Linked DNA regions of Caenorhabditis elegans. The protein of the gene in region 1 interacts with the protein of each later gene in a pairwise test. Each region holds a gene or a part of one and is shown in the gene's direction. Other genes may lie near its edges. The genes, in order: lin-41, let-99, inx-8 and hcp-3.

Evidence for each region.
Region 2: the proteins of lin-41 (region 1) and let-99 interact in a two-hybrid assay, tested with the Caenorhabditis elegans proteins (one large-scale study listed by BioGRID).
Region 3: the proteins of lin-41 (region 1) and inx-8 interact in a two-hybrid assay, tested with the Caenorhabditis elegans proteins (one large-scale study listed by BioGRID).
Region 4: the proteins of lin-41 (region 1) and hcp-3 interact in a two-hybrid assay, tested with the Caenorhabditis elegans proteins (one large-scale study listed by BioGRID).

Annotation. Positions count from the first base shown.
Region 1 is NC_003279.8:9,338,584-9,344,602, reverse strand, and holds the start of lin-41 (Protein lin-41), read left to right. Parts: upstream 1-2,106; 5' UTR 2,107-2,285; intron 2,286-2,689; 5' UTR 2,690-2,705; coding exon 2,706-2,841; intron 2,842-2,888; coding exon 2,889-3,150; intron 3,151-3,193; coding exon 3,194-3,243; intron 3,244-3,286; coding exon 3,287-3,427; intron 3,428-3,474; coding exon 3,475-3,746; intron 3,747-4,133; coding exon 4,134-4,405; intron 4,406-4,459; coding exon 4,460-4,583; intron 4,584-5,650; coding exon 5,651-5,747; intron 5,748-5,786; coding exon 5,787-6,019. UniProt on the Caenorhabditis elegans protein: Heterochronic protein which acts downstream of let-7 in temporal patterning. Plays a role in the developmental timing of postembryonic hypodermal seam cell division and fusion events and adult alae production.
Region 2 is NC_003282.8:12,565,873-12,571,750, forward strand, and holds let-99 (Protein let-99), read left to right. Parts: upstream 1-1,969; 5' UTR 1,970-1,983; coding exon 1,984-2,028; intron 2,029-2,078; coding exon 2,079-2,431; intron 2,432-2,478; coding exon 2,479-3,668; intron 3,669-3,726; coding exon 3,727-3,911; intron 3,912-4,251; coding exon 4,252-4,575; 3' UTR 4,576-4,750; downstream 4,751-5,878. Other genes in the region: eak-7 (MTOR-associated protein MEAK7), read right to left, coding at 1-109; hsb-1 (Heat shock factor-binding protein 1), read right to left, coding at 1,044-1,205, 1,260-1,340; K08E7.4 (uncharacterized protein), read right to left, coding at 4,834-4,869, 4,917-5,120, 5,170-5,181. UniProt on the Caenorhabditis elegans protein: Required for the proper orientation of spindles after the establishment of polarity. May play a role in interactions between the astral microtubules and the cortical cytoskeleton. Required for asymmetric forces on nuclei and spindles.
Region 3 is NC_003282.8:11,671,668-11,676,844, forward strand, and holds inx-8 (Innexin-8), read left to right. Parts: upstream 1-2,176; 5' UTR 2,177-2,205; coding exon 2,206-2,342; intron 2,343-2,632; coding exon 2,633-3,319; intron 3,320-3,372; coding exon 3,373-3,628; intron 3,629-3,722; coding exon 3,723-3,791; 3' UTR 3,792-3,968; downstream 3,969-5,177. Other genes in the region: inx-9 (Innexin), read left to right, coding at 4,717-4,853. UniProt on the Caenorhabditis elegans protein: Structural component of the gap junctions.
Region 4 is NC_003281.10:9,614,005-9,618,366, reverse strand, and holds hcp-3 (Histone H3-like centromeric protein hcp-3), read left to right. Parts: upstream 1-1,896; 5' UTR 1,897-1,913; coding exon 1,914-2,005; intron 2,006-2,056; coding exon 2,057-2,303; intron 2,304-2,351; coding exon 2,352-2,654; intron 2,655-2,706; coding exon 2,707-2,931; 3' UTR 2,932-3,061; downstream 3,062-4,362. Other genes in the region: F58A4.6 (DUF4807 domain-containing protein), read right to left, coding at 3,083-3,203, 3,252-3,397, 3,441-3,611, 3,661-3,788, 3,837-3,876; pri-1 (DNA primase small subunit), read left to right, coding at 4,088-4,187, 4,234-4,362. UniProt on the Caenorhabditis elegans protein: Histone H3-like variant which exclusively replaces conventional H3 in the nucleosome core of centromeric chromatin at the inner plate of the kinetochore.

The DNA of each region.
Region 1 (6,019 bases):
CGCGCATGGGTCTTGCCACGCAGACAAGGAGCTACTGTAACGATTATTACTGTAACGATTGTTGCATCCTAATTTTGTTTTAAAAATCTTGACAGCAATTTTTGATTCAATTTTTAAAATATGATTCAATAACGGCCCATAATTAGACATGAGATACGGTAATTTGTTGTCCGCGTGGCGAGACCAATGCGCCTATGGTATGTCGAAAACTCCCATCTTTAGACGACTATGTAATAGAGGTCTTCATTTTTCACTGTTCGCCTTAATTTGTATTTCTTATTTCATTCACAATTCCTGTTTGGTTAGTTTCGGTCTGAGGTATTAAAAAAAGAAACGCACGCTTCGCGACGTTTCTTCTCCTTTTTTTGCGAAAAAAGTGAAAAAGTACACTACTCTTTCAAACATGAGGCCTTGCACTTTTGGCACGAAATTCTGTTTTTGCGACGACGGCGCGGCGGAGAAGATCACTGGGGGTGAGAGGGGAACACTGAATGGAAAAAAGAATGAGAAAGAGAGAACAAACTAGAGACACGCAGAGATCAAAAGCACTGAGCCCAGTGAAAGAGAAACACTTTGGTCTCTTCGTCTTCCCCTTCTTCCCCTTTTTTCCGCAAAAAAAAAAGAGTTTTCACTCTTTCTCTAACCATCTGTCCACTCTCGTGCAGCCTACCCCCAGCAGTCCTTCGGCGCGGCGCTCACCCCCAGGTGTGTAGAGAGTGGGAACGACGAAGAGACTACAGACATTTGGGGCGCCTGGGGGAGACAGCGGGGCAGCCTAGGGGTGGAAATTTAGAGAAATGGAGAGGAAAGAGGGGAAAAAGACTTCTACACACACACACAGACATACACACACTTTTATCGTTCCCACCGTGTTCAATGTCCCATAGGTTTTTGCGATTTTTTTTTCAAAAAATGAATTGAAGTTACTTCCAATGTATATCTGTTAGAATCTGTCTTGATATGAAAAAGATATGTCACGCCCCTTTATGATATTTTGAGACTTTAGGTCAAAAGGTCACAAGTTCAATAAGTCTTAGAAATAAAAATCAGTAATTGAAACGAAATTCATGAAACTTTGCTTCCAGATATCCGGACATGTAATATTTAATAAAAATTAGCAATGAATAGTTAGACATGTATCTTTTATATGGTTCATCCAGAACATAATTCGTACAATATATTGGTTTTTGCTACGTGGCCTAGAAAGTCCAAAAATTCGGCCAGTGATTCATCTTTAATTTTTCACTTCAGAACTTTGTGAAGCTTGCCGACCAAGTTATTTCAACGAGCAGATTTTCGAGAAAATGACCATAGCTCCTTTTAGGAAGGTGGCCGTGTTTTTGTATGTCGCGGCCACATAGTAAAAATCACTCGGTGTAAAATGTGATCCTAAGACAAATTCCAACTTTAAGTTTTTGGCCTGGAAAACCTAGAGAATTGTCCAGAAAACTCCTACAATTTCGAAAAAAGGGGCGTTTTTGTTTATTTTACTTTGATTAATCCAACGCGAGATGTTTATTTAGTTAGTGTTTTTCGCATTCTTCAATTTTCGCTTCCCGGTTTCTATTGCTTCGATTAAATCCCTGTAAAGCTTTCACAAAGCCTAAAATGTTTGCCATTTCCATCACTTTTTAAGGAGCTGCTCAAAAACTTACTTCCGTATTGAATTTTTTGGAAGGAAAAATGTTTCAGATTTTTTTGTTTAATTTTTTTTGAAAATTTATCGAAAAAACAAATTATGTCGCAAAAAATGTTTGGTAAAACAATTTTTGAGATAGAGAACCGTACCGTAATCCTTAAAGGCGCATAGTCGGTTGGAAAAATTTTGTGTTCGTGACGAGACCCAACACATAAAATTACGAGTTTTCATCTAAAAATAAGTGTTTTCAGTGAATTCTTCTATCAAATAAAATTTTAACAAATTTATTACAAAAAACTCTTTAAAAATATCTTCAGATACATTCAAATTCATTTCGCCCCGTATTTTCAAGGAAAAATCGATAAGCTACCGTAACCCCATTTGTTTTATTATTTTATTGTCGCATCATTTTTCGATAATTTTTGAAAAACATTCAATTAATATATTTAAGTCTCGTTTTATTTCAGGCCACGGTTGGCGAACGGGTAAAAAGGAAGAGCCGATCGCCTCGTTACTCAAGGAAAAGGCTCGACGTCGCTGGAGGAGGGAAAAGTTGGTTTTTTAGGATAAAAACCAACTTAAAGTACAAAAAGAGCCGGAAACGGCGGGAATGCGACGTTGGAAACGATCGTGATCTTGAATAAAGGTGAGGAACTTTTAAATAACAAAGCAAAATGCGAAAATATATTAAAAATTAAAAACGTCGAAAAAAAATTAATAAAATTTTTTTATTCGAAAAATTTTGACCTACCACAAATTTTTTGACTACTTAATTTTTTGTTTTTTGTTTTTATTTTCGAATATTAAATTGAAAGAGCGGCATTTTTCTGATTTTCCCATCAAAAATCCTTGTCATCAGCAGCCCTCGGGCCATTTTTCTCTCATTTTGTTCCATTATTTTCATATAAAAAGTGCACTTTTTTTGTGCTTCACTGACTTTTTTGTTCGATTAATTGTTCCATTCGTTCTGAAAAGTCAAAAAATTCATAAGTATTCTAATTGTAGAGTCATCGTTTGCCCTTTCCACTGATAATTAATCAACCTTTTCAGACTTGGAAAAAGTGAAATGGCGACCATCGTGCCATGCTCATTGGAGAAAGAAGAAGGAGCACCATCAGGACCTCGTCGGCTTCAAACTGAGATCGACGTGGACGCCAACGACAGCGGAAACGAGCTGTCGATGGGCGGAAGCAGCAGTGAAGGTAACACTTGAAAATTGAAAAAAAAGCTTCCAACGAAACAACTTCAGGTGACTCAATGTCCCACCATCGCGGTGAGCATTCACCAAACCATCATCATCAGGATAATCATCTTGGCTCGGGACCACCACCACCACAGTTCACTGGCTCACTATTTGACACTCCACCGTCAATGATTCAGTCACCACAGCAGCAACCACAGTTCCAGTTCAACACTGGATTCGGACTCGGACTCCCGCAAGACTCCTTTCGGTGCTCAGTCTGCTCCAAGAGCTCGACGATTGGAGTGCTGCCGTTCGTTTGTGCGCACAAGTGGGGTTTCAAGACAAATTATCAAAATGACAATTATTTTTAGAACGTGCCAATCATGCTACCAGATGACACCGTCCTCGTACGATCGACGGGGTAAATAAATATCTCAACTTTCTGTATGATTTATGAATTTTAGCTTGCAAGCTGTGTGGTGCCGTATCGACAGCCACCGCCAACTTTACATCGCAGATGTACCTGTCTCCGACGCTTCCATCACCGCCACGTGGAGCTCTGATGTCGGATTGTTCGACACCAACGATGAATAATCACATTAATTGTATGTTTTAATTCTCAATTTACACCGAAGAATAACCCAAATTCCAGCATCAACTCCACTTCATCAACCTCGTGCATTCTCATTCTCACTCAGTGGAATGCCTGGATCACCGTCTCCAGTGATGGGTGCACGGATGCCATCGTCTGCTGGTGGGCTCATGATGCGTCCAATTGGATTCCCCGACTCGGACAGCAGTTTGACATCATGGTCTCCATTGCAACAACCATCACAGCTTTCTATCAATAATCTGTCGAGCATCGGAGGACACCAGCAACAATCGCCGATGTTGATGCAAAATGTGTTTGATTCGTTGGCAGTGGTCAGTTTTTATCAAATTTCAAACAGAGAAAAGTACAATTTTGTGGAGTGTGGAGCTATAAACAAATTCAATTTCCCGAATTTATGATGTTATATATTATGTGGTCGCAAATCGAAAAATGGTTCAATTTACGGTTTCGCCGTCAATACCTAACGAGACCCAACTTCTGGGGGTGGACCTCGATTAAAAAATGAGCATTTTTCTACGGCCCCATAATATTTCAAAAATCATTTTTTTCGCAAAAAAAAGTTAGCATTTCTCTCTTCCCAAGAAACATATTTTTCTCCCTGGCTTCAATAAGTTCAATAAGTCTTTTTTCTAATTTTTTTTGCTAAATGCGCCCTCCTGCGAGCTGAAATTGCACCTAATTCCTCGTATTCTTTACAGAACGATGATACTCCTGTATTCTCTCCACTCTCTCCAACGAATACTTCAATGCATATGCCACCATCATTGATGGCATCACCAGATGTTCCAAAACATTCTGCAACCATAGCTCCACCACGTAATTCCATGTGCTCGACGCCACGTCTTCAATTGGCAACACCAATGTCTTCACAATCACAGCAAACTTTTCCAATTCCTTCACCACTTGGATCTCAGCCACAACAACAACAGCCAATGGGTCCGATTCAATGTCAAGGATGCGAATCGAAAATGTTAGTTTTCCCCTAAAACTTCAAAGATAATTAAATTATATTTAAATTTTTCAGATCGTTCGCCTACTGTATGCAATGTCAGGAAGCTTTGTGTATTCATTGTGTTCAAGCTCATCAGCGTGTTCGAGCCACCAAACAACATGCGTTCGTTGAGCTTCAGCAGTTGATGGCTACTTTGGTTAGTTTTTATCTTATCGTGTGTTACTACACGCTTTTTGCGTCTCAACACGACAATTATTTTTTTGGAAATTCATAAAAAGTATGCGCCTTTAAAACGTACTGTAATTAAACTTTTCCATTGTTTTTCATTAAATATTTGTATATTTATTTATCGAAAACCTAAAATTAAAAATTAAAACCATAAAAAATCGATGAAAATTCACAGCTACAAAAATTTGAAACTACAGTACTCTTTAAAGGCGCACACCTTTTTGTAGTTTACAAAAATTGACATTTTGAGACATGATACCGTAGTTTGGGAGCAAAAAATAATATATGTGGTCTATATTAATATCACCTTGATCCGTTTCAAGATTCTCCACGTGCTTGATGACGTGAATCGTTTGTAATCAGGAATCATAAAAAGAGTACGCAATAATCATAAATCAATGACTCCTGTCAATCAAGAAAAAACACAGAATCAGTACTTTTTTGGTGTATTTTTCCGTTTTTAAATGTCTTATCAGTAACTGATTGCAGGATTAGAACACAAAAATTGGCTGCCGACCGTTCCACTACATTAGTAAAACTTCTTGAAAATAACTTTTTGAAAACTATCAAGGAAAGTATTTCAGCTCACTTTTAGATTTTTAAATGAAACTTGTGTCAGCAGTTTCACATTTTTCAAACAAAACCAAGTTCCAAAAAGCTCCCAGAGTGTTTGCTTACCTCCAAACACCATAAACATCACCAAAAGCTTGCAAAAATCCACATTTCGAAGAAAACAATTTACTGAAAGCAGTTTCAGAGCTGAAATACTTTCCTTACAAGTTTATAGATTTTTCTATCCGAATATGTCCACGTACTAGGAAATTCCCATTTTTCAACATCCAGGCGTTCGTTTCCCTTTTTCTTCTCCTTCAACCACCTTTTTTCGCCATTATTCACAAGCCAGTCGGAGGGCCAATTTAGTGCCGAGAGAGAGAGAGGTGTCTGCTCCTCATCCGGTGCTCTTTTTGCACTATAGTATTATTTTTTGCTCGGCGAACACGTAATTCCTCTAAAATCTAAAAGTATTATTTTCAGATGAGCCGTGCAGTTCAACCACAACAAGCACAGCAATACACTCAAAATGTTGGAGGATCAGTTCGTCAAGCACTTGGATCAGTTGGAAGTGGAGATGGTATATGAAGATATTCTACAGTAATTCAAACTGTTTCAGTTTTCTTTTCAGGACATGTGTCTGGCGTTGAAAATGATTCAATTGGCAGTGGAGAATCATCACCTCGAAGCTCTTCTGTGTGTGGAACTCATGATTCAGTAATCATTGGAATCTGTGAGAATTGTCCTCATTCAGTTCTATTGTGTGCAATCTGTGTTGCTCAACATCCTGGAAAGCATCGAGTTCAGCCACTTGGAGATATTCGAGTTGCTGTTGGAGAAGTTGTTAATGAG
Region 2 (5,878 bases), on another chromosome or scaffold:
TCATTTTGTCCTTTCCATCTGTGTGTTTTTTGAGTTTTTCCATAAAATGTGCATAATCCTCATCGTTAATATTTTTTAGATCTTTTCGCTTCGAATTTTGAGCTCCCATTTCTGAAATTATATGTTTTTTATCTGAAAATCCGGATGCGAAATAGTTAGTAAAAACTGTGAGAAATCAACATTTAGTATGAGAAAAAATTCAAGGGAAGAAGAAGAAAAAGTAAGATGAATAGTTTCATATTGAAAATTTTTTTTAAAAATGCACAAAAATTTGAATTTTTGGCAAAATTTGTGTTTTCACATATAAATAAAATAATTCCGAAAATCGTAATAAAATGCAACAAAAGTTATTGAATAAGAGATTAAAAGCAGGAGGCACAACATAGTAGTCATGAATCCTCTCAACACGTGCATAATCAGTAGAAAAAGAAGAAGAAGAAGACGTGAAAAGAGTATATGTATGTAGGAGAGACGCAGAGAAGCACACAAAACGAATTGGAATTATGATGATGATGAAGAAGGAAGCGACGATGATTCATTTGGGAAGAGTGTAGAGCTGGAAAAAATAGAAATTGAAGAGAGATTAGTTATTAATAATCTCTACAAATTGATTTTTTAGTGGAAATTTGGCATCTTTCAGACCATTTTTGAGCTCTTCGGCGAATTTTTCAGCCAAAATTAATAGGTGAAGTTCTATATTTTTATACTAATTTTTAATGATAAAGTCTTGGAATAACGGTGCAATCGGCCTGATTACCACGTGGTAAATCGATTGGAAAGGCGCTAGGAAATCTAAATATATTTCAAACTAAAGTTAAGAAGGAATAAAAGGATTGACTTCATACATGAAAATTATAAAATATTCGGCCAAAGAGCGTTTTTTACTGTATTTCTAATTGGGTCCCACGGCCCATATTATTGTTTTTTTTTGAAATTTCAAAGTCGACATCAAAAACAACACTGTTTTTCAAAAATAACGAGTGGTCAAAACATCGACCGAAATTTTTGAGAATGTTTCCCATTTTTCTCATTCCGTACCAATCTTATTGAGCGCTTGGCGGATGTTCAACTTGGTTCGATTGCAGCAAATCGTTGATATTCTTCTCCAAATCATCGATTCTCGTTGTCATATCATCGATTCGCCGAATAATCTGATCCGACATGTGCTGGAATCGATCCTGTGTCTGTTGCAGAACTCCTTGTATCTGAGTTTTAGGATTTTTTAGAAAATTGACAATTTTTTTCAAGTATTTACGTACCAACGACGTCAAATCATTCATATTTCCATCGGCTGGAGCGTCGAGTTGAGCGGTTGGTGTGGTAGACTTCTCATCGGACATTTTGAACTGAAAATCTGTAAAAATACGATAAAAATCACAAAGTTTAATCAGTTTTTAAAGAAAATTTGATGAAAAATCAATTAAAACTGGTGAGAATCCAGTACCAGGCAACTAGCCGTCATCTCACAAACAGTGGAACACACAAAAGTACGGGAACAACAACACGAGAGAAAGTACGTCGAAGTGAGAGACGACAGAGAAAAAGAGGGCGGCGAGAGAGTGAAAGAGACGCAGAGAAGGAGTCATTGGAGAAGGACAGATGGTGTAAACGGCGAAAAGAGCAGAATAAGATGATTTGTTTTATGTAAAATAGTGTGGATTTCGAGGAAAATATAATTATTAGAAACACTTTGAGAAAAAAAAAACATCTGAATCGAGGAATTTTTAATTAAAAAGAGAAATTTTCAAAGCAGAATGGGTTACTGTAGCTAATAAGTTGTGTGACAAGTCGTGTTTTCGTGTGTTTGGTCCGTAAACAAAACTTCGGCGCCAAAACTTCACTCGTTTCAGCAATTTTTAGGAAGTTTCCAGAAATTTTTCCTCATTCTTGCTTTTTTTCGTGATGAAATCTCGTTTTCTTTTAAGAAGTTCTTAAATTTATCAATAAACCATCAAAATTCAAGTTTTAGGCCGTCTTGCCGTGATGTCTGCCGACTACTCATCGGAGAAGTTCAAGGCGACGCATCTGGTATTAAAATGTTTCACATTTGTCTTTTGAAATTTTATTCTGATTTTCAGTTCGACGAAATTCTATGGCATTTTCGTTCAAACTTATCACTCAAAACGAACAGAAGAGGATTGGCCACTGCGGAAAACAGTTTCAGCGGGAAAGAAGCTGTGGATTTTCTGATGATTGAAATGCCACGAATCATCCCTAACAATGTTCCGGAACGAGACAAGATGCAGAAGTTCCTGGAGTTCATGATGGACATGAACGTGATTTCAGAAGCCTTCCCGAAGAAAGTCAAGCAAAGGAGGCCATTCAGTGAATCGAGAATATATTTGTTCATGAAGACTTTGGATGAGTTGAAGCATCCCAAGCCCCGATCACGTCGATCAGCGTCTTTCAGTGGTGCTCGCAAAAGTGCAAAGTATGCCAAATAATCATTTTAAACTGTGCTATAAAATATATTTCCAGAGTTGCTCAACCTGCCTCTCCTGCCGCGACAATGCACCGGCCACCAAAGGCAAGGCTCCCACGAAGATTATCGCGATCTAATGGCAACATTGACAAAGCAGGCATCGATAATTCTTCAGGCGGCGTTGAGAATCACGGTTTCGATGATCATAAAGACGATGAAATCCCGAAGAAACAACGAACTCCGAAGATTTTGAACAGATCACTTGAAAGTATCTGTACAGAAGAATATACTGAAAAACGAGAAGTTTCTGAGATGAAAGAGAAGGTTTATGATTGGTTACCGTTTTTCAAATCAAGACGAAATCACACGAAAGTCAATCAACCAACCCGTCGTTCAGCATCCCTTGATCGAAATCATTGTGTTTTGGAACAAGAAAAAGCTGAAGCTGCTCTTCGTAGTCAGAAAGTAACCACTCCGCCAATTCGAGAAGCCCCGAAAGACGTCGTCTTTATGCATCCACAAGGACCGTTGCCTGCAGTTCCTAGCAGATATCAAAATCATCGGACAAGCATCGCAGGATCAAATCCAGCATTGTTATCGCGTGGAAGAATGTACGAATCCATCATGAGAAGATCGTCGGTTGTTCCAGTTGCAGACTCTGTCCAGGCAAACAACGAATGCTCATTTTGGAAAACAGAGCTGCTTGGACGATTGGAACAAATTTACGATCGCACTCTTCCCTGTGAATGGGCATCTAAAGTCGATGGATACGATATTCAGTGGAACATGATTGAAATAGATCATGCTGATGGAATCGTCAAATCGAGATGTCAGGGACTGCAGCCCGATTATCCCCAAACTGTTATTCAATTCATGGATTATCTTGTTCGATATCCCTTCGTCACGCATAAAAAAATGGACACAGGGTTGGAATACAACGTCAATCGGATTTTCATAACTCTAGTCAATCGTCTCGAAGACTTGAATGCTCCTCTTCAATTCGATGAATGCTCTCTTATTGTTAATCTCCTCTGCAAAATCGATAGCTTCGCGGCAATGCTTGACAATGGGCCTGCAAGGCGATGGTCGAAAGTGATGATTTCTTCGTCTGCGTCTAGTATTGAGGAGGCTGGATTGATGGTCGATGGATTCTCCCGTGATCTTCCAGCATGCGGAATTCGAGCTTCAAAGTATCGACGACGTGCGTTATCACCATTTGATAATAGAGTGAATTTGGAAATACAAGGTAAAGAATTTTATTTTTATTACAGTTTCACGATTTTTACTTAAAATTATAATTTCAGACGAAAAATCCTACGAAATCCGAGAGCAATGGTTGATCGAAGCAATTCAATTGGTACTTCTTTCGCTTCCAACTTCACGACGTCGGAAACTTCACAAATTTGTTACATTCATTCAATCGATCGAAACGAATGCAGTTTTCGACCTCGCTGATCCTTCTAACGGATCTTCCAACAATCGGGAAGCGGTAAGGAGGGGATAATTTTGCAAGAAAACTACTGTAACCGGTCTCGACACGACAACTTTTTGTTAGATAAGAAAATGTGTGCGCCCTCAAGGAGTACTGTAATTTCAAACTCTCATTTCTGCCGAATTTTTATGGATTTTAATTAGTTATTTGATAAAAAAAAATATTTATCAATTTAGCACTACAAAATTAACACCTATATTTCAACAATTAAAATTCTGCAGAAATCTTCATTCGTTTCATTCGACAAAAGAAAAATTTGTCGCCTCGAGACCGGTACCGTACTTTTGTCGCGAACTTTTGCGTCTGCGTAATATCAATTTTAAATTTTCGATTTCAGGCAATCATCGGACTCTGGACAGGTGTTTGTAGTAAATGCCGAAAGCAACAAGGAATGCTGATAACCGCTGTCCTCCTCGCAAACTTTCAATCTCTTTTTGCAGTACCTGTTGAATTTATCGAACAGGTCAAACGATTGGAATGTGAAGAAAAGGACAGATATAGTGGTCCTCGGTACGCAAAGATCACCAGAAGTCGAAATGATTGGCAACCACCAGTTCCGGATAAACCGCAAGCATCTCCGGCAGTTTTTAAGAAACCACTAAGAGAAGTGGCATGTGAGAAAACGAAGAAAGGATTGTTCACAAGATTGCTGCGTAAATAAATCTAAAAATCTTCGCCCCATGTATATATTCAATATATTATTTATTTTGTTCCATTCCTCCCCGCTCACCGAATTCTTGTGTCATTATCATCATTTTTCTAAATGTTATTTTACAATTCTGGTTGAATTGAAATTCTCGATGTTCGTTTTGTTCCATAAATTTTGACGATGATTTATCTATATGTATTTATTTTCTTCTATGCTTTAATAACACAGAAAAGGGGGAATTTCAAAAAATTTATTAGGATACATTGAGGACTATTGTGGGATGGCGAGCTCCTCGTAGTTGCCCTCCTAAAAACGTTCGTTTTGTCTTTTAAAATATGCCAAAAATAACTCACATCTTCTTTCTTTGGAGCCACTGGTTCATCCTTCTTTGACGATGGAACGTCTTGTTTCTTCGAATCGAATGAGTCGCTTTTTCCGACTCCTCCAGCAGGTGCTGCCATAAGTTTAGCGACCGGTTTTGGAGCCACTGTTTTCTTCTTGCTCCCACAATGGACCAGCACAAATGGCAAGATATTGAGAGTTAATAGCAAAATGATCTGGAAGCGAGAGGTTTGGAAAATATCAGAATCCTGACAGAAAACTCACTTGCGAGATCATTATTCTTTTTTCGCTTCCGAGAGGTTTTGAATCTTGTAAAGTGAGAAAATATGAATTTTGTAGATTTTCGGAGGCTTTATATATGAGAAATTGTAAGGGGAAGAAATGTTCACGGAAATTCAAAGTTCGAAGGTTGAAATTTTTCAAATTTTCTATCACAAAACACATTTTCGGTTCGCGTTAATAGTTTTCAAATTGGTTTTTTTTTTCATTTTTAATGAGTTTAAAGTTTAGAAATTTGGTTCTACATTAACATATACTTTGTGACAGAGATGGGCGGCAACTGCCGTTTGGCAAATTGGAAAAATTGAATTGCCGGTTTGCCGATTTGCCGGAAGTTTTGGAGGGACTTTTTATAAGATGGAAGCGTTTAAAATTGTGCCTTTTTGAAAATTTCTTCCCGTTTTCTTTAGATATTTTCATAGAACTTGTTTACTTTTCAAAATAGACGTAGGAAAAATCATAGGATGCGTACAATTTTGCCGATTAAAATTGAAATTCTGAAAGAACCGGCCTTCCAGCAATTTTCAGTATTTTTTCTGAAATATTTGGCAGCATCTGAAAGCATTTTTCAACATCCTGTAAATTTTGGCAAATGTGGGCAATTTTTTTTGCAACACCTGGGCCGGCAATTTCTTAATCACAGCGGTAGCGACGAGAGTTTGAAATTACAGTACTCTTTAGAGACGCAAACCTT
Region 3 (5,177 bases), on another chromosome or scaffold:
CCGGAAATGATCAGATGATTATTCTGAAATTACTGAATATATGGAAATATTGAAAAAATAAGTTTTTTTAATGAGAAACAAATCAAGAAATTGAGATAAAACTGATTGGACATTGTTAGAATACTAAATTTTACCTCGGATTTTCCAAGTTCCTTGGCATTTGGCCCTGCACATGTTTTACCCAAAAAGTTTCGACTTGGATTAACATTTCAAAACCATTTTAAATCCCCTTTTTCCTCTAACCCCAACTTCTTGTGTCAAGCTCCATTTTCCCCATATGGATGACCTTCAGTTTATTTATCTTTCCCCCGTTGTTCTCAAGTTCCCATCGTTAACGAAAGTTATTTCCAATTTTTTCCCTCTTCTTTCCTTTTGCAACAAAAATATATTTGTACCTACCAAAGGCTTTCAAAAATTGCGACTCGAATGGAAAGAACAAATAGATCGGTCGTCTGAATGGGGTCTTTTGAAGTTAGCCGATTTAATTGGGGAAAATATGACATCATAGAGGGTGGAAGGAGATCTGGAGTCAAATAAGTGACCCTGTAAAAATTTAAATTTTCCTTTTCAGAGAGAGAGCTGAAAGCACTTGGCTTCAAATATTTGGCAGGGCAAGCTTATGAACAATGCCTACTTTGGTGCATACAAGGCATGCAAAACTCTCTTATTCACTATTTATAGTAATAACTTTACGCATACTTAGAAGAAGTAGGTTATTTTTTTTGCATCCTATCAGTTTTTCACGACGAAATGGTCCAAGGTTTTGTACGACTGTAGGCAGGCAGGTAGAAATTTAGTTACTGCCTAGAAAACTTAGAATATGATATATTCAAGTACTGATAAAAAATTTCTGAAATAGATCTAACAGATTTTTGTGTTATTACAATAAACTAAGTAAAACAATTTTTGAGGGATTGTTCTGGAAATTGCTATAATCCGTTTTTTTTTTAATTTTAAAATTTTTTCCATATTGCAACAGTCCAATAATCTTTGAAACATAGGTGGTATCGAGAAACATTTTTCAGCTTTTATGGTTCCAATCCCTATCGACATTTGTTGCAAAACTTATACGACAGATGGCAAGGGTTCTAGAACATTCAAAAAGTGGTCCAAGAAGTACAAGAGATCAACAACATAACGAAGGAAGGACACATGGAACTCTCTCCCAGACAGACGACTGTCTAGACCATTTGACTTGGACACCTCAACCCCCATCACGGCAGGCTTCTTCAAATTCTGAAGGTTTCCTTACTCTCTAATCCTCTCTCACACAATATCACTTGGTGTTATTCTTTGCACCAACCCAATTTTTTTGTTGGTATTTTTAACAGCAAAACTGAAAAATGAAGTTCCCATCCCGCCCATTTAATGGAAAATTGATAAAATTTGAGAGAAATATTTATGATTGCACACAAAAAAGTGAATGAGAAAAATAGTGAAAGTTTCTGCAAAGAAAAAAAATAAGAGAATAATTAAAGAGAGTGAAAAGAACATATCCATTCAAATTTCAGAATCTTGTCGAACAACAAAAACGAAAGGCTTTTTGTGACCTTGATAAAATAGTGAATATCAGCTTCCAAAGCGCAACGCAACTTTTGAAGTGTACCGCCCATACGAACCCTTTTATTGGAATGTACAATGATTTATTAGAAACTTTAAAATTAATGAAGACACTGACCATATAGTCAATATCACTGTAAGGTTCCGGAAAAGTTGTTAGAATCGCGTCGTATAAATAAACAAAATTTGCCCTAATTTCCCCGTGACCTCACACGTGGAACGTCTTGCACAGTCCGCCACGTGTACTTCCCTCATTATTTTTAAATTTTTATTGTCATTCAGTTTATTTTCAGTTTTACAGAGAAAATATTTTTTATTGAATTTATTGTAGAACACTCAATTTCTGTTCATTTTTCCTTCGACCTGATTTCCCCTTCTTCTAATGAGTCATACCATTTGGAAGACCCCCAGTGTCTCGCTGCAATCTCCGCCTACCAGTCCCTATTACCACTGGTGGCCAATAAAAATGCTTTTCTTTTTGCTTTTCTCTATCTACTTCCGTTCCGCCCATTCCTCTGTTTTCCAGAACTTTCCATTCAATCATTCATTTCAATCTGTGCTCAATCAAAAGCTTTTCTTTTTTTCTTCACTCTTCAACATACATATAATCTTTCAGAGCATCTTCACTCGGGTTCGAAGGGCAGAATGTTTTCTGTTCCATTTCTTACCTCATTGACAAGTCATCTTGGGATCACAGCAATTGATGATGCAAGTGATACCCTTTCATGTCTCATCACTGCCTTCCTCTTCATTACTGCAGCCATCCTCACATCAGCCAAGACGTAAGTTGTTTCCTTCTCTCGTTTGAAAGTCTTGTAAATTTTTTTTGCCTCTCCGTTTTTTGCCCGGAAAACGCCTGCGGGAATAATAGAAAAAAAGATAAATTAAAATTCATAATACCCGCTTTATTTTAGCTTTCAATCAAAAATAGAAGTCACTGAAAATATAGAGATTGTAGTGTTTCCAATTGTTCAAAATGTGCGTATTTTGATGATTTAAACTTTTTACCAGCTCTCAATCCGAATCCTGCAAATAGAGTAGTCTTTCACTATTCAAAAATTACTTCTTCCAGGTATGTCGGCTCTGCAATGGAGTGCTGGCTCCCGCAAACGTATTCTGGAGACTGGGGAGAATTTGCTGAAAACTACTGCTTCTTGAAGGACACCTACTTCTATCCAAGACAACAATCCATGACAGATATTCCAATGTATCACAAAGAACGTCATCGTCTTACCTACTATCAATGGTCCAGTATGTACTTGGCAGTTGCTGGAATTGCTTTCATGATTCCGAAGTTTCTTTGGAGACTTTCTCAATCTACAACTGACATGCCTGTTGTCTACTTCTGTGATACTGCAAATGAAATCAAGAATGAAACTGAGGATAAGAGAAGTGCGAAGATCAAGGAAATGGCAAGATTCATGCGTACAAAGATCACTTCCGTTCATACTCCGTCGTTGTTTTCATTCATTCGAATGTACATGGTCTATTCAGTTATCAAGATTCTCTACCTCGTCAATGCAATTGCTCAATTTGTAATTATTGCAATCTTTCTTGGACAGAAACGGAATTTGTTCTGGGGATGGACTCTCTTTATGAATCTTCTCAATGGAATCACTTGGGAAACTACTGGATTATTCCCTCGCGTTACCTTCTGTGACTTCCAAGTTCGTGAGATGGCCGGAAATAATCGAGATGAAACTGTCGAGTGTGTCATTGGAATCAATGAATTCAATGAGAAAATCTTCTTGTTCTTCTGGTAAGTCTCTGATTTTTTTTAAAACTCAGTGCTCATTTGCTGCTCATTTCCAGGTTCTGGCTTGTGTTTCTCGTCTTCTCCACTCTCATCGCTCATTTCTACAACGCTGCTCAAATTGTGAAGCCATACTTCATCCACAGTCTTCTTTTTGCTATCCGGGATCATGATATTGTCGATCAGAAGGAATTGTTCAGAGAGTTTGGAGAGAAGTATCTCACAATGGACGGAAAACTTATACTGAGTTTTGTCAAATCTCAGAGTGACTTGGTAGCATCGGAGGTTGCCGTGGAGATGTACAGCGACTTTTTAGTAAGTCTTTTCAACAATTTTCGTAATAGTTAGACATTCACGGAGGCAAGCACTTATTTTTCTTTTGAAAATCCTCCAATTCCTACATTTTCAGGAAGCAAGAGACCGTGCCAACATCGCTGAGGACAAATACAACAACATCTTGAAGAACGGAAAGCAATAGTTTTTCCATGTTTTCCCATCCGCCATTCTTGTCATAATTATCTTTCTTATTTCACATTGCTTTAACTCTTTAATTTTGTAACGTTCGACCCGTGAATAATACTACCATCGAGTAGTAGAATTACCCGGTGATTTTTGATTTTGTACGGCTTCCTTTGGAAATAAACTGAAATGCTAGAGATATTGAAAAATTGTTTTACAGATGTATTGACTTCAATATATATTTGGTAATTGAACTCAAAGTTAGAACGGAAAGGAGATCGAATAGGAGATCATGGTCGAACTAAAAAAAGGAATTTTAAAAAAAAGTTTTTTAAAGTCAAAATCTAGAAACTAACTTTGAGCCGTTTTTTCATTAATTTTTCACTATCAAAAACCTAAATTCAAAACTTTCGAAATAAAAAGAGCGACCGTCTTTTGTAAGTGAGAGATGTTGCAAGAAACTTTAAACTTTTGGCAGCCAAGGTTCTGACTTTGTATTTAAAAAATTGCAAAGGCATCATTTCACTTTGATATAGGTCTTATTATCCGATCTTCAGACATTTGAGAAAAATCTTTAGGCGAAATCTTGTAATTTCACATCCCATTGATCATTCGATACTCCTGACAAAAATCTCAAAATCAATAACCAATTTTTCCATGTCATCCTTGGTCTCAATTGCAGATGATTCATAAAATGAACCACCCACTGGAAGACGACGCAAGCTCCGCCCACAAACTCTGCATTCGTGTATAAATACCACACAGTTGGGAGGCCGACACATGTTATTGACAATAATTTTTCGTTCTGTCTGTCCATGTTTTCAAGCATTTTCAATTTTCAATTCAATCATTGATTCTCGAAAGACAATATTTCAATCTCATTTTTAATTTCGTTCAATGAAAAATTCTTTCAGAGCATTGTCACTTTGGTTCAAAGGGACAGAATGTTTTCTGTTCCATTTCTTACCTCATTGACAAGTCATCTTGGGATCACAGCAATTGATGATGCAAGTGATACCCTTTCATGTCTCATCACTGCCTTCCTCTTCATCATCGCAGCCATTCTCACTTCAGCCCAAAGGTAAATTATTTTCAGTCAACGTTTTTAGTTTCACCATGTTGTTTTACGGGCCGTTTCTGGGAGTTTAAAGGATTATTTTGTGAGTATTTCTTCATAGAGAATAAAATACAAATACGATATACTGTTGTAGTACTCTGACTTGAGGTTTCTTCATTTCTCTAATTCTTTTTCTTAAGTCATATCTGTGAAACACAATTCATTATTATGAAAACAAAAAACAATAATTTTTGAAACCGGAACCCATAGGTTTCGTTTAAATTTTGTGATAATTGGGATTTTGAGATCCCATACTACTTTTTTAAAAATAACTTTAGGGCTTAAGGG
Region 4 (4,362 bases), on another chromosome or scaffold:
ACCGTGAACGAATAGAATATTGACCGACTCCGTAGGTTTTGAAATTCAAGAATTCAAATTCATTCAGCTGCAGTTTTGGTTTTTTTTTCGATTTTTTTCCTTATGATTTCTGTGCCAATTATGTACACCTAAAAATGTTTCCTTTCACTGAGAACATCTCGACGCGCTCATAAAATTCAATTGTTTAGTGACAGACGTCACGAAAGCATTTTACGCATCATTGTGATAGTATTCTTACACAGTTTGTCACCCCATTCGTCGTCGCGAATATTTCTTCATGTGTTCAATCTTTTTTTGGGCAGAATGTAGAAAAGAGAGAGACAATACTGCAAAAGTGATATTGAAGAGGTTTCCGTGTGTGTGTGTGTGTTGGTGTTTTGAAAATTCTAAAGACACAGAATTGGAAAGGAAAATGAATCAACACGGAACACGTACACTTTTTTTTGGAAACAAGTTTAGTATTAACTTTGCAAAACATGTCATGTCTATCGTTCTATCGGGATAATGGTATTTGAAAAGAAATAAAAAATAAAGAAAGAAACCAATCAGCGTTTCCGGACTCCGCCCTTTTTGTCTGATTGGTGGAAAAGTGTGCGGAGCAATTTGCTAATTGGTATTGCAGTTCTTGTTTTGGAGGGAATTCAAATTCAAACAGAGCGATTAGCCGAATTTTTTGGCATTTTAGACTTTTTTGGTATTTTAAAATTATAAAAGTTGGCTTATATGTTTTCAACAAGCTTCGGAAAGCTCATCGAAATAAAATAGGTTTGCTAGTTACGAGCCTTTCCTGAATCACTTGGTGTCAGGATCAAGTGTTTCATTTTTCGATTTTTCGCTGTTTTGATGGGAAAAAACATGGAAAAAAGCGGTAATTGAGACGTAGTTTCCAACCATTGTCACTCGGTTAGCAGGCACACTTTTCCGGCCGAAAAATTTTTTGAATTTTTTTAATATCATATATAAAAAATCCTATTTAAAACTATAGATCAGTTATGAGACGTCTCATGAGACCACGTGATTCGAATTGAAAACTTGTGCTATGTCATTGCAGTAGACTCGGCTTATCGAACACTGGATTACCAGGTCCAAATATAAATTTATTATAATTTTTTTGCAGCGAAGTTTTAAGCGTTCTTCGATTATAAGAGAATATTAGCTCTAATTATTATTTCTAGACCTGCTTGAATAATCGCCTTCCGCGCAAGCGGAAGTTGCTGGCGCATCTCTCGTGTTACTTGCACATTTTAGTTTTTCAAAGCGCGCGGAAGCGCGAAAATTTGGTTTTTCTTTTCTAGAATTTTCTTTTGTCTGTTGATGGTGACTCTCAGATTATTGTCACCTAAAATTAGGAATTATTTTGATTTTTTTTCTTTTTTTTTCCTTTTTGTATCAGACTATTTTTACATTTTTGTGTGTTAAAGCTCCAGAGTGTCGTGAAAAACACCGAATCATTGTCTTCTCCGGCGAATATTTGTTTTTTCACTGCACTTTCCAAAGTTATCTCGATAAAAAATTATACAGCTAATCTCATATTATATATTATCGCTGTATGCGAGACACAGCCCAAGGCAGTCCAAGTTTCGTGAAGTTTTGATGGAATATTTATGAAGAATCGTTTTTTTTTCGAAAAAAACAACACAATTGTTCAATCAGCTGAACTAAATTTTTATAAGACCCAAATATTGATTAATTAGGCGACCCCCGGGGTTGAGTCCGTCATTTATGTTGTTTTGTGTGCACTTTAGCGTGATGTCGTCTGCGTATTTCCCTGCGTCTCTCGCCGCCAATCGTTACTTATTTAAACTGCGTTCGCATTTATTGCTTCTTTAATTCCTTTTTAACCTTCAAACAAATCGTCTTAATTTAGCTTCAGTTTTCTAAATTTTATATTTTATCAGGATAATCTTCGAACAATGGCCGATGACACCCCAATTATTGAGGAAATCGCCGAGCAAAATGAGAGCGTCACAAGGATCATGCAACGTCTCAAACATGACATGCAAAGGTAAGTGATGATTTTTGTTTTCGTGCTACAAATTAATGTCTGCTGTTTCAGAGTCACTTCAGTGCCGGGATTCAACACAAGCGCCGCAGGTGTCAACGATTTGATCGACATTCTGAACCAGTATAAGAAGGAGCTTGAGGATGATGCAGCCAACGACTACACTGAAGCGCACATCCACAAAATTCGATTGGTCACAGGCAAACGGAATCAATATGTCTTGAAGTTGAAGCAAGCCGAAGACGAATATCACGCGCGAAAAGAGCAAGCTCGGAGAAGAGCTTCGTCTATGGATTTCACGGTTAGTTTCAATTTTGTATGATTTCAAACAACATAAAATTTATTTCAGGTCGGCAGAAATTCCACGAATCTTGTCGATTACTCCCACGGCCGTCATCATATGCCCTCATACCGTCGACACGATAGCTCCGACGAAGAAAACTATTCTATGGATGGAACAAATGGCGATGGAAATAGAGCTGGCCCATCGAACCCCGATCGTGGTAATAGAACTGGCCCATCGAGCTCCGATCGCGTGCGGATGAGAGCCGGAAGGAACAGAGTCACCAAAACGAGACGTTATAGACCGGGCCAGAAGGCATTGGAAGAGATCCGCAAGTACCAAAAAACTGAAGACCTTCTGATTCAAAAGGTATACAATTTTTACTTTATTTAAACTATATTAAAACAATTCCAAATTTCAGGCTCCGTTCGCACGCCTCGTCCGCGAAATTATGCAGACTTCCACTCCATTTGGCGCCGACTGCCGTATTCGTTCTGACGCCATCAGTGCTCTTCAAGAAGCGGCGGAAGCATTTTTGGTCGAAATGTTCGAAGGATCGTCTCTTATATCCACCCATGCGAAACGTGTCACACTCATGACAACGGATATTCAGTTATACAGACGTCTCTGCCTTCGACATCTCTGATAACAATATTTGCAATACTCATTTTTCGATCTTCAAGCCATATTTATCTCATCAATTTTAGCGCTGTTTGATCTTTTGTGTACCGTGAACACGTTTACTATTTGTCAAATAATAAAGATTCATTACTTGTAAATGAGAACATTTTATTTAATCACTTGTTCGAACTAGCTTTTCCGAAAATATGAATAGCTCGAAGCTTCTGATAGACTCCTTCGCAGCATCTTTGTACAATATCCGTGTTCGGATTCTGTTTGGCCCAGTGATAAATTGCTCTGAAATTGACCACGTAAATAAGCCTTTTCTACTTTCAAGAATCCAACCTAACAATATTAACAGCATGCGAGAGATTTCCGAGTTGTGCTTCTGCGAGGGCGGTATACAGGTAGCATCGTGCAAGAATAACTGGATCTCCATATTTTTTCGCTAAGTTGATTTGATGAGCAGTAATTTTTGCAGCGACTTTCGCCTGAAAAGCTAGCGTTAAACTAAAGTGTAAACTGATAACTTACATAATTTGCATCGAAATCTCCCATAGCTGAATAAGCGCCACCTAGAGTAGACAAGTTCCACATGAGCTTTTCGAGATCAAGCATGTATCGGAAATGGTGTTTCAAACGTCTTTCCCAAGCATAATCGAGATTTTGTGCCGGATTTTTCACTTGGATGTTGACAAGAAGTTTCTGAAGCTTAAATATAATAACTTCTGGCAATAGAAGATAAATTAGTTACCTTATCGACGGGAATATTATAGAAGGCACGTATTTGAGCAAACGAATATTCTTCACGACACTGGAGAATATTCAAAAATCCGTACAAATCGTCCAAATTCGTGAATTCGAATACTAGTGATTGGGTACCTGCAATTATTTTATATTAATTAATTATTTGCTTATCTGACAGCTTACTGGTCGATGGAATTTCCGTAGAATGTTTTATTGAATTCATTTGTACACTGAAAATGAGTATAGAAATGGAGAGAAAATGGTCTTTTAGAGAAAAATAAAATAATGCAAACGCGCCCTGTTGTACACGCCGCGAAATTGGAATTTAAACCAGTTTACCGCACTACATATGTGCCTATTTCTTGAGGATTTCATCTTTTTTTAGCTTGAATTTCAATTGAACCAAATATTTATAGTTTTTTTTCTTTTCAGAAATGTCTTATAACTCCATCAGACTTCCACAAGATTTGCCAATATACTACAAAAACTTCTTCCCAGTCAAACCATTCACAAAATGGCTCCGCTACGGACAAAGTGAGTTTCGAATTTCGATTTTCTTAACGAAATTTGAAATTTGCAGATAACGGAGACTATTTCAACCGCCGAGAATTCGCATTCATTCTGGCAGATGACGTTCATATCAGATATCGTAGTTACAATGACGAACACGCATTTTTCAAAGCACTTTCAAGTACTAACCCGGAAAAAC